Linked DNA regions of Mus musculus: all the other regions are reported to be linked to region 1. The links are microRNA targets in miRTarBase. Many come from high-throughput screens and were not tested one by one. Region 1 holds a microRNA gene; each other region holds the end of a gene's coding sequence.

Region 1 (4,130 bases):
TCTTTTCTTTTCTTTTCTCTTCTTCTTTTTTTTTTTTTTTTGTTTTGTTTTGTTTTGTTTTGTTTTGGTTGGGGTCAGGGAGAGGCTGGGAACCAAGGTACTAGGCAGTTTGGGAAAGCAGGCACCTGGGGAGCCATAGCTGACAAGCAGTCTGATGTCATATCACAAAGGAAGGAGCTGGATAAGAGTGTCAGGCTGCCTGCACTGTCACTGCAGAGCAGGGAACACGATCCCCTCCGAGTCTTGAACTCCTGTGGAGGGGGCCTACAAGCTTGAGGACCAAGGAAGGGGGATGGACTGTGGGAGACAGTAACCAGGACCAACTCCCAGAGAGAGGGCGCCTGGGCAGACCATCCTGAACAAGAGAAGAAATCTAAAGGAGACCATGTGCTAGGTACAAGCCAGGGTGCGCAGCCACTATCTCTGTTGGAAGAGCATTTTGCTGCTGAGGAGGCCCAGAAGAGGAGAAAAAGCATGCAGGGTGGAGTTGCCAGGGTGAGGGTGCTACTTGCTCCAATGGGGAGCAAGCCCAATCAGAAAGAGCTCTTTGCCACCCTGGGGAGCCTTACTAAATACCAAAAATCTATAGCCTGTCTTTCAAAGGCTCCTACTGGGTGTGATCAGGTACTTTCTGGGGTCCTTGAGACTCTAGGTCAAGCCTCTACAGTAAGCTCACAGGAGTCTGACAGAGCCAGAGTGTTAAGTTGGAGGAAACATGAAGAAGTGCAGGCTACATTGGACACGCAGACTTTGTGTGCCCCGGTACAGGGGAACGCCAGGGCCAAAGGGGGGGAGTGGGTGGGTAGGGGAGTGGGGGTGGGTGGGTAAGGGGGACTTTTGGTATAGCATTGGAAATGTAAATGAGCTAAATACCTAATAAAAAAAAAATGAAAAAAAAAAAAAAAATAAAAAAAAAAAAAAAAAAAAAGAAGTGCAGGCTAATCCCTACTGGGCCCCCTGTGCTCGTGAAGCAGGGACAGAGCTTGGGTATCACTGCCTTGTAGACTCAGGAGGACATTCTGTGCTATTTCCAACAGGGTGGCACTGAGGACAAGACAGGCCAAGGGATGGTCTCACATACAGACTAGAGAGTCAACCAACACAAAGGCTTCAGTTCTTGGCATCAATGCCTCAAAGTAGAAATGGTCTAGGGTAGGACATGGTGCAGAGAAGTAGGCTGTGGGATAGTCATCAGATAGAAAACAAACGTCTCAGAGACAAGCTAGCTCAGGTACCACCAGCACGGACTCTACTTAGGATGCTTCTTCCTCTAAGATGCCCTTCTGGACTTCCCAACCCCCACCTCAGGAGATGTGAGGCTCTGGGTCAGGATGAGTCAGCTACATGCCTGACCATCAGTGGTGTCCAGTGGGTCAGCAAAGTGTGTCCCTCCCCTGACACCCATGCTCACACAGTAAGAGCCAATGATAAAGAGAGGTGACCATGCACTGTACCAGCATTAAGAATGGAAACCCGTCACGGGCAATCTCACCTCAGATACTAGGAACTGCACGTGTAACCAACTGGCCTGGCTCTTCCCTAAGTATCATGCTAGCCCCTCCAAGCCCTCATGGTATTGAGAAGCACCCAGGGTACAGGGCATTTGAGCATGCAGCCCTCGGTGGAAGCCTTAGACAGGGACAAACACCCATTGTTGTGGCGGGAAAGAGGCATGGAAAGTGGACAGCCATCCATTGCACATCTGGCCAATGCTTCGTGGCCCAGCCTACAAGGTTGGTGCGATCCCAGGAGGCTCCTCAGAGCTGAGGTTCAGTGAAGAGGGGGTGACAAGCGTCATACAGAGTCCATGCATTTACCTACCGGGCAGTGGTGTGACACCTGGTATGTACTGCCGAGTGACCGGAGTGGCAGGTGGTATTGAAAACAGGCCATCTGTGTTATATTCGTCATTAATAAAGCGAACTCATCACAGACAACCTCTCCTCAAGTACCCAGTGTTGACCGCAGCAACCCTGGAGCTGGAATCACCACCTGAAGCTGTCCTGGGGGGAAGGGGGGGATTGCATATAAATGGTGAGTAGGGTTGACACAGGCAGCACACAGCCTGTTCCACCCAGCCCAGTTCCCCGCGGAGGCAGCAACCTAGAAGCACCATGCTGTCCCCACCCCCACAGGGGCTGCAACTCCAAGAGCTTCTCCAAGCTGAGCGTTGATACTGAGAAAAGATCAACCATGTATTATTCGAAGTCAGCCAAGCGAATATAACACGGTCGATCTCCCTTCAAGTACCAGCAGAGGTGTTGAGCTGAGGCTGTGACATCCTGGGCGCAGGCTGCAGCGGGCACCGACGGCTAGTGGACCAGGTGAAGTACATTAGAAACAATTACTTTCCAGCTGGTCGACCATCCGTCCCATACCCCAGAGCGAGATGAGTCCATGGTCTTCCCTGAGGTGGCCTCCCTGGAGGGATTTGATACCGAAAAGGGGTTCACCGAGCAACATTCGTCCTCCAGATGCAAAGTTGCTCGGGTAACCTCTCTCCGAGTACCACGGAGAGGCTCGGATGCTCAGAACGAGGCCGATGGCTGAGTTTCCAGAAGAACCATCCTGGAGCCCCTCAGAGATTATAACTCCCCATTCAGTGAGGAGCCACCCTCCACCACGTGAAAGCAATTATTCCATCACCTCCCCAGTGCAATCTACCACCCTTTCACCTTCCAAGAATATCTAAAGCCTTCCCAGACAACCTTGAGACCCAGGTAGCGAGGAGCTGACTCGGGGCAGAAGTGGGTGCAGAACTCTGCTTACTCTATCTCTCCTTTGTAAGCTGGAGATAGGGAGATGCTGAGACCCTGCGCATATACCACACCACCCTCCCAGAGACGATGCCTTCCAGAAGCGAGGAGGCAATGACTGCATCATCCAGAGATGCTCCTCCTTGGGCCCACCCAACCACTGCAGCCCCACGACCCTGGCATCCCCGCCCTGTCACCTGCCCCCTCCCCCCACGGTGATGTCATAGCAAGAACTGCTTGACCATCCAGTCCTATAAACCAAGCAAGTAATGCTTCAAAGATAAACATGGAGGGAGGAGAGAAAGAACAGCGGAAGGAGATCCCGCAGGGTCCCCTTGTGCCAGTGTGTATGGCTGCCCCGCACGAGCACGCCAGGGAGGGCTCTCCAGTAAGGGTCAGGATCCATTGACTTAGGCCATAAGCAGAGTATGGATTCTGTGTTCGCCACTCATTTTAAAACTCTTGGAGTGTGACCAACATCAGAATCCCTTCTCTGATTTTGGCAAGAGTTCACACAGGCTTCTAGCCTTGCTGCAGGGCAGCAAGAGACTGGTCACATGCAGTGTGTCATACGGGGAAAAGACGCCACGGGCAGCTTCATGTAGGTGTTCTGGAAACTGACCTGTGGGACAGAGGCTCTTTCCCCAGCTGGCATCACCTCCTGGAAATGCTCCTAAGAGGCACACAATGGCGATGATGGTGGCTAACGGTAGCTACAAGATCCAGTCAACAGTATGGGGAGGGAAGCTTGTCCAGGTTCTTCCTCCAAGCACTTGTCCTGGAGAGAGCTCCAGCCACTGACCAGTTCCAAGACAATGATGTAGCCTCTGGAGTCCTTTGAGGTAAAGATCCTTTTGGAAAGAGAGCCACCATGAAACCTGGTGCTCATCACACCCCAGATAGTATATTAGACCCTGGATACATCCACTCTAAAATGACCTCCCGTACGGGCCTAGCCCTTCAGCACCAACAATGGGTACGTCTTTAAGCCTAGCCCTGGGAGCTGGCAACATGGAAACCCAAGGAAGGGCAGGCCCTAGAATGTTCCAGGTACCAACTGCTCGGCAAGAGCAGACTCCCCAGAACCAGTGTCTTACCCGGAATGTTTCATGAGGATCGAGGAAAGTGAAGAAGACTGCTCAGTGGGCACGTGCTCTGGCACTGGTACCCAGTCACATCCTCCAGGTGACACCCGCCAGCTTCTGAATACTCCATGAAGCTCTCTGTAAAGGTTTGGGATGGGAAAATAAAGTTTAGCCACATTAAAAAAAAAAACCCACATGGTGACCAGTCCTTCTTATCACCCCACTAGCTCTAGTCTATATCCATAGATTTCCCCATCTCAAACACCACACCCACATTGATTTTCATAAA
Region 2 (4,000 bases), not on the chromosome of region 1:
TGGTTATGTACAAAAGAAGTAGGCTGAAAGTGAGGAGATGGCATGGTGAGTAGATCTGACTGAGAACTTTAGATTTAGGTTACCATGTTTAAGAACTATGCAAAAAGTATCTTGTAAAACAACAACAAAATCGCTCCATTCCATTTTACCTCAATTATGGAACAAAAACCTCTGCAACAGAATACTTGAGTGCATTAAATAAATATAAATTTTATTAAAAACACTCACATGGCGTTATCAGGAATGATATAATAAACAGCTTTAAAATAAACTGCATTCATAACATTACAATACTTACAGTATTTATAACCACCCTCAGATTGTATAAACAAAGCCAAAATCTCAGGAAGTAAGCTACATTAAAAAATAAAGCATAGAAAAATGCACACAGAAGTTCATTATCTTAGTGTCAAACTGCAAAAAAACAAAAAACAAAACCAAAAAAAAAAAAAAAACCCTAACAAGTTAACCAAACTACCTTGTAAAGTGAACTATACATCACTGTGCGTCAATCAAGATGAAAAATTCATTCAAGTAATGTTGACACCAAGCAGAAGCACTTGTATCGAGTATGGCTATGTAGTCAAGCTGTTCCTATAGAAGCAAATCACAGATCTGCCTCCCACTTGATCTAATGGACAGAGGTGGGATGTCACTGCCTTCCTCCCTACACCACCCATCCTCTCAAACCACACTTACTACTCCTGTTGGCCAGCAGTTTGACAAATGACAGTGGGTGACATGTAAAGCAAATATTCCTTAGGGATGGCTGGCTCAAAAAAAAAAAAAAAAAATTGCCAAGCACACCTTGCAGGAACCTGATGTGGACTCAACATCATGGTTTGGAAACCTTGTGGTTTTTGTTTTTGTGTGTGTGTGTGTGTGTGTGTGTGTGTGCAAGGCAGACATTCTGAAAGTTTTTAGTGACAAATGTGACTGATGGTAAATTACAAAGGTCTCCACTGACGCAAAGCTATTTGCAAAGCTAGTAAGCAACACTGTATTTAGGCCACAATGTAACAACAGTCCTATTGCACAGCACACCACCAGCTTCTAGGACTGTCCAGCTGCAGTCCAAAGCTGTCCTCGTCACTAGATCAGAAGCCATTACCGGCGATGTCTTGTACCCCCCATCTCCCTCTGCCAGCTCAGGGCTTCCTATTTTACACTTTTTACTCTGCTGAATGCCAACTCTCCAAAATTTACAATTGAAAGGTGACAAAATTTATAAAATTAGTTTTCAGTTATCAGTACATATACAAGCAAACTACGAGGGATTGCAATCCTCTGAAAGCGAATATATTAACCGACAACTTTGCATAAACAGATGACATGTTAGCATAAGGAGAATGAGCTGAAATATCCCTGAATTTTTAGAACAAAAAGTTTGAGATTCAAGTTATACTTGCTAAGAAATCAAGTATTTAAAAATGGTATGTCTTAATACAAAGATTTAAAAAAAAAAAAAAAAAGAAAAATGGTGGTCTACAATGCTCTAAGCCTCCACTGTTAGCTCAGTATCCCATTGCCTAGCTAGTGTTGAGGTATGACGACAAGTAGGAACACCACTCCAACTTTGAATGGATTCTTAGCTCACATTAAGATCTATGTGGAGCAATCTGGGTAGCACCATCGTGATGTGAATTTTTCTTCAATCTCATATATTATATATATATATATAATATATATATACACATATGTATATATTTAATTTTTTACAGTACTAAAATACTAAAGCATTGCATTAAAAAAGGTTGTTTTACAATTTAATTTACTATACAACTCTTTTTTACCTTTTAATACAAATTAATGTTTAAAATCACCATAAACCAGCTGCCTATTCTCTTTCGGTTTTTGTTGGTTGCTCTGTAACCAGTAGAGTCCTATGGACTTAACCATGTCTTCTCAACTTCTGCGGGTTTCAGTCCACTCAACCTTCCTGGTATATATAACACTTAGCTAAGAAAAGACACCACAAAGCATGTAATGAACACAAAGGCAGCCTGCTGTTCTGAAGAACATACAGGTCTGTGTGTGGGACAACATGGACTTAAGTGGGCAAGCTTTGCTCTGTCTGCAGCACCAAGGCTAATTATCACCTGCAATTAACAGACGTTCTTAAGCTGTATACGCAGGAGGGATGAGCTTGCCCTACCACCGTTTTACAGGATAGCAAGTAAGGTGAGCACCAAAAACTGTTATTTGTTTTCTGTGGACTAGCATATCCATTCAGCTTCGGTTTGGATTGTAACAGGCCTGATACTGCTCATCAGCCGATAGTGGCTAAGAGCAAAGCAAATGTTTCCTTAAAAGGAAACAAAACAAAACCACTTTTAATCCTAAATGAAAGTAAACTTTTTTTTGTTTTGTTTTTATGTTTTAGTACCTTAGCATTGCCCAAGTTGCCAAAGCTTAGGTAGGCAAAGTGCTTTTCTAAGACACAACTTAAAATATTTCAGTACACATGTGTAAGTGTGCATATCTATACATTATAGTCCTACAAGGACATCGGTGGATAACTACAATCCAGAGGCCTTTGAAATGTCCACATTTTAAAAACTAAGCTGAATAATTAAGATAGAAATGTAAAATCAGAGGTACCCCAGTGCCTCCAGGGCCCTCGACCACACTGGCTAGATGATAGAAGGCATTGATTTTTCAGCTATTAAAAACACCATTTGTAGCACCATTTAATGTTAACACCCAAACAGATTCAGTGTTTTGCCATTATTCACTTAAGCTTTCTGTAGCTACTTTGATAAATAAGTTATTAAGATTACAGTAAAAAACCTGCATGTTAAAAAGTCTTAGTTCCAGTATTTCTTCAGTACATCATACGTCAGCACCAGATGATCCTGCAACTGCTCTACTACAGCGCTGTGTCCCACGGTTACACACGCTGAGTACTAGAAGCAGTTACGTGTAGAGTGCTGAGGGGCATGGCACACGCATGACCTCAGCCAATAAGAGAACCAGTGGTTTTCAAGACAAATGTCCAGCGCTTCCTTCCCACTGTGCCCTTGCATAGGATGCTCTTCCTGAATGCCACCATGGACCACGGGAGAGATTAAATATAATGATAAAATAAACTATTTTGCTGGTGAGCTGACAGCCCCCCCCCAATAAACATACACACAAACACACACTGCATTTGTCACAGATGCTGTGACCTGTCCCTACGGCCCATGCCATGAAAGACATACTGCTCACAGGTCGTCCTTGGTGGTCTGGCCTAATGGCCAGCGTCATACAAATGTGTTGTAAGGCCCTGTGACCTGAGTGAAAGCATATGGTGATGTAGTCACGGTAGAATCCGTAGTCACAGACCCTGTGTTCTCAGCAAGAGACTGGATGAAACGCAGGTAACTGGGTTCCTGTGGCCCTGTGGGCTCACGCTTTTCCTGTTTGCCATGATTTTTCTGAGACACGTGGTCTGATCCATTCTTTCCGCACTCTTCCTCTTTCCGGGCCTTTTCAGCCATTTTGGCTTCCCAGAGAGCCAAACAATGTTTTGGTAGAAACAAATTCTTATGCCTATACAGTACAAGTGAGATCCTGGTGGGGTGATTCCGGTCGGGATCGTTTACTTTGGTTGTGGCATGAACCTCACACTTTGCACACTCAATAAGAATTGACCCATGAGTTGGAGCTATAGCCACCCCTCCAATGCAAGGATCCTGAAAGTTGTGCTCACTATCTGACCAATACTCAATTTCCTGCACAGCAGCTGCATCCTGGCCTGACACCTCAGGCTGCTTCTCCTGACTGCTGCCAGTCAGACTGTATAATAGTTCTTGGGCAGAAGCAGTTCTATCATGATTAAACCCTGGAAGCACTCTTGAGAGCCCATTGGCTATGTTGTCATTCTCCTTGTTGTGGAAGGCGTGGCTGGAACTGCTCCCCGAAGCTGCTGCCGTGTAGCTGTAGATCGTGTGAGAGGGTAGATGATGCTCACTGGTTTTGTAGTCAGTGTGTGGGTGGCTGTATGGTGATCTGGAGG
Region 3 (4,000 bases), not on the chromosome of region 1:
GGTTTAAGGGATCTCGGGATTCAGTTCTGTAACTAACTATCCAACCTTGACCTGCGCAGGCACCGCATGCCCCGGGAGCAGTGGTGGCTGAATCTGCGGCTGATGCTGAAGATGCTGGCACACTACCGCATCAGCATGGCAGACTATGTGTCTGGGGAGCTGGAGCACGTCACACGCCGCACCTTGAGCATAGACAAGGGTTTCTGAGCTTACTGTCACTACTGTTCCTGCGTTCCCGGACTCTCACCCTCCCAGTGCTAGCCACAGATCCCAGCACCGAGGGGAACTCAAGGGGAACTCGGAGCCCGTGGCTGGCTGAGGGATGTGGGGGTCTACTGTGCTGCTCTGGGGCTCTTCCCTTAGCCCTCCCCCCACCCCCAGGACAGAGAGCCTGTGGGGCCCCTACCTTCCAGTCAGACCCACATTGCCTCTCCCTCACTGGCCAGCTGGCTGCCTCACCACACGGCTGAAAAGAGCCTCACTTTTTTAGAAATAAAGTCACCTGTCTAGAGCATGGTCACTGGGACAACATGACCAGAGGAGTCCAGGGAGAGGGTTGTCAGGACTCAGGTGCAAACCTTACCCAAGGCTATAGTTTGTTTAATTTATATAAGTACACTGTAGCTGTCTTCAGACACACCATTAGAGGTCATCAGATCCCATTGCAGACCGTTGTGAGCCACCATGTGGTTGCTGGGATTTGAACTCAGGACCTCTGGAAGGGCAGTTGGTGATCTTAACCGCTGAGCCATCTCTCCAGTCCTGCCCACAGCTATTCTACAAGACTGGAATTTAGGGAACCCTCCCGGGAAGAGACTAGGGAGACCTGAGCCCTTAGAGAGCTACTGAGGCTCGTGTGAGCCCCATACCTGCCCTGGAATGGCTGGGGTATCGGCCTGTGGGCAATGTGCCCCGGTCTGGAGAGGAGACTGTCATTGTCAGTATAGTGTTCTTGGCTGATTGCTGCCCTTCAGGAGGTTCTTGAGGTCGGGACGTTGGCTCCTCAGAGAAGTTTATGAAGGGCTGAGCCCTGGCCAGCCCCACCTCAGATCCCTCTCTAAGCCCCTTATCAGGGTTTCTTACGTGAGCTGCTGCTGGGTCCATCCTCTACAGTGCCTGGATTTTTACAATATTTACAATAGGTGGAGGCTGTTTCTGGTTTCTCCGTGTATGGAGGTCAAGGGTTGTGACTTTGGCTCTGTGGACCTGCAGGCCGCATTGGGGCGGTGGTTTCCTTGGGTAGACGTCTCCCCCCATGGGTCACTGTAAGGCTTCTGTGGGGGTATTGCAGGCCATGTACCCAGCTGCTTCATCTGGCTGGAGCCCCCAAAGCTGCTGGGAGCAGAGTCCTGGAGTGTAAGTGTCATATCACAGCACCCTGGAGGGTTTGGTCTTGAGCACATGGCAACAAGGCCTGTATATTAGGGCTCTAGAGAAACAGAACCAATAGAATGTATATATACTGTAAAAGTGGGTTCGCCAGACTGGCTTACACAAATGGGCTTGGTAGCCTAATTGTCTTAGGGTTTTATTGCTGTGAATAGACGCCATGGCCACAGCAGCTCTTATAAAGGAGAACATTTCATTGGGGCTGACTTACAGTTTCAGAGGTTTAGCCCATTACCATCATGGTGGGAAGCATGGCGGCATGCAGGCAGATGTGGTGCTGGAGAGGTAGCTGACGGTTCTCCATCTGGATCTGCAGGCGCAGGAAAAGACAGTGAGCCACTAGGCCTGGCTCCTGAAACCTCAAAGCCCACCCCACAGTAGCAAGCTTCCTCCAACAAGGCCACACTTCCCAATAGTGTCACTCCCTATGGGCCTGTGAGGGCCATCTTTATCCAGACTTCACCAATAACAGCCATCTGCTGGCTGGGGAGGCTGAGAGCCCTGGAGCTGCTAAATTCACAGCAGCTCCATTCTAGTGCTGAGGGCCTGGAGGATCTTCACGCCACACTGGAAAGTCAGAGTTTGTGTCTGATGTCAGCAGAGGGTGGTAACAGCAGCAAGAAGGGCTGGCAGGCAGCACTGCCTTTTACTTGGAGCACCCAATATCTGGGCTGCCTGCTAGCGGAGGCAGTCCCTGGAGAGGGCCTTCCCCCTTTACTAAGCCTTCCTGGAATAGCCTCGTAGGCTACCGTAAGGCCTCTTAATAATTCTCCAGGTTAATTGACAGGCTCAGGTCTCTCAGGACTGCTGGGAGACACCTGTGCTTGTTCCAGAGTCACCATCAATGTCCATACCTGTTAGTGTGTTCTCCCTCCACCCCCAAAGCAGCGCAGGGCCTGGGGACATGGCAGGCTATAGTTGGACATCTGAAGATTAGAGCAGCACCTACCCAGCCGCTTGCTCAGTCTGGGCGTCTGCTACACAGGGGGTTCTGCAATGGGGAGGCATGAAGGGTGGGCCTGTGTGGCTCATTTTGTTCATGGCCAGGTGGAGTCGGGTCATTGTCATCAGCGTGGACTCAACTCTCAGTATGGAACCCCTGCTAGATTCAGGGTCTACCTGCTTGGCTGCAAGGTGGCTTTGGGCCCTGGTGATAGCAATGGCTTCAGGTACAGAGTAGCCATCTCTTTCCTCTCTTCTCTTGCACCACATCCACCCTTCCAGGGGGTTACACCTCCAGCCTTAGCTCTCCCCGCTGTGAGTTGGATGGGAGGGCACCAAACCCTTGAAAGGCCAATTCCTGTTCTGCTCAAGGGGCTGGATCTGGAAGATTCCAGATGTGGCTGAATGTCCCACGCTCGGCTCCAGGTAGGGATATGAGCTGTGCTTTAGCAGAGGCTGGGAGTGGGGATCAGGGATTGGGGGCTCGGTGCAGCTGGTAGTCTGCCCATCCCTGGGGTATATGTGAGTGTGCCACAGGAGGATGGAAAGCTAGGACGTTACAGGCATGGGGTGTGGTCCTGAGGGAACCTGCTGGGCATTTCCAGAATCTTACATCCTGGAACGAGGAAGTGGGCCTGGGACACAGACACTGGTAAAAACAGTTTATTAAGAGAGAAAGCACTCCCAGGTTTCGAAGTGGGCCAGCGGTGGAGCAAAGCCAAGGGCCCAGCTGCCCTGAACCTTCAGCATTAAGACCCTTACAGGTCATCTACAGAGCCAGCAGGCTTCTTTGGCATGTTCTACCTGTCCCTCTAAGGGCCCTTCTAGACTTTTTTTGCTTAGGTTGCTTTACATATGCTAATCTTGGGGCCTTTCCTGGCTCGTTCTCTTATGGCAGGTGTAAGGTCACCCCAAGGCACCAAGGTGGCCCTGCCTAGGTAAGCTACAGGGCCTCCCCCAATTAATGGCTCTAACGAAGACAACTTTACCAATGGCATCTGGCGCCTCAGAATGACGAGCAACAGTCACTCAGGTGACATCCCTCTCCTGAAGAAGAAAGAAAAAGGACAGTGTCCTGACCAGCCTTGTCCTGAAAAAACAAAAAATTCCATTCTCCCAGGCTATGTCTAAGGACAGCTGGGACACAGTGCCCCGTAAAGATATTCTAGGCATCTCCAAGGGTAGGCTTGATACAGTGATACTAGGGCTCCCCCTAGCGGCTGAGAAACAACATGAACCTCAACGTCAAGGCCCCGAGATGCTTCCTGTCCCAGACCTTCCAGCTCAAACAGAAAGTGCTTTATTGGAGGGTATGGCTCCTTCAGGCCTCCCTTGAGGAAGGGTCAGACAGTGCCCAGAGCTTTGGGCCTCAGCAGGTAAGTCCCAGGGACCATGCTGGTGGGCAGCATTTCTGCCAGCCCTCAGCACAGGAGAGGGGTCTGCTTTGCTGGCAGCCACTGGGCCTGCTTTGAAGGCTTTCCAGGTAGGGCTGTGTTTCCTCAGGATATAAAAGGGTCCAGATACTGGGGCGTCTGAAATCACTCCATGTCTTCCTGGGGCTCCGGCCTGTGCAGCGCCTGTAGCCGGCTGCCCACGGTCTGCTGGACAGTCTCCAGCCCCTCCGTATCCAGCTCCCGCAGCAGTAGCAATATGGCAGTCAGGATGTTCT

The links. The annotated mature microRNA mmu-miR-410-3p reads AAUAUAACACAGAUGGCCUGU and lies in region 1 at 1,885-1,905, opposite strand. An mRNA with a match to its seed (bases 2 to 7 or 8) in the 3' UTR can be bound and repressed. Matches are read on the target gene's strand: a 7mer-m8 pairs with bases 2 to 8, a 7mer-A1 pairs with bases 2 to 7 and ends in A, and an 8mer does both.
Region 2: miRTarBase lists Tet2 as a target of mmu-miR-410-3p. Seed matches in the 3' UTR shown: 8mer at 1,946-1,953 and 7mer-A1 at 1,676-1,682.
Region 3: miRTarBase lists Pfkl as a target of mmu-miR-410-3p. Seed matches in the 3' UTR shown: 7mer-A1 at 606-612.

Annotation. Positions count from the first base shown.
Region 1 is chr12:109,741,539-109,745,668 of GRCm38, reverse strand. It overlaps Mir410 (microRNA 410), which reads right to left and starts at 1,954; the gene lies at 1,874-1,954. Mirg (miRNA containing gene) reads right to left here. Exons shown (of 8, transcript NR_028265.1): 3 at 3,854-3,979; 4 at 3,379-3,607; 5 at 2,251-2,312; 6 at 1,822-2,003. Mir541 (microRNA 541) reads right to left here and starts at 3,260; the gene lies at 3,171-3,260. Mir409 (microRNA 409) reads right to left here and starts at 2,511; the gene lies at 2,433-2,511. It also overlaps Mir412 and Mir369.
Region 2 is chr3:133,463,492-133,467,491 of GRCm38, forward strand. Tet2 (tet methylcytosine dioxygenase 2) reads right to left here. Exons shown (of 11, transcript NM_001040400.2): 11 at 186-4,000. The coding sequence ends at 3,246. Among named protein-coding and RNA genes, the nearest start is that of Tet2, 79 kb to the right of the region's middle.
Region 3 is chr10:77,984,417-77,988,416 of GRCm38, reverse strand. It overlaps Pfkl (phosphofructokinase, liver, B-type), which reads left to right. Exons shown (of 22, transcript NM_008826.5): 22 at 60-1,470. The coding sequence ends at 207. Cfap410 (cilia and flagella associated protein 410) reads right to left here. Exons shown (of 7, transcript NM_026431.2): 7 at 2,979-3,998. The coding sequence ends at 3,870. It overlaps Gm51807 (a long non-coding RNA gene), which reads left to right and starts at 3,993. Exons shown (of 3, transcript XR_003949012.1): 1 at 3,993-4,000.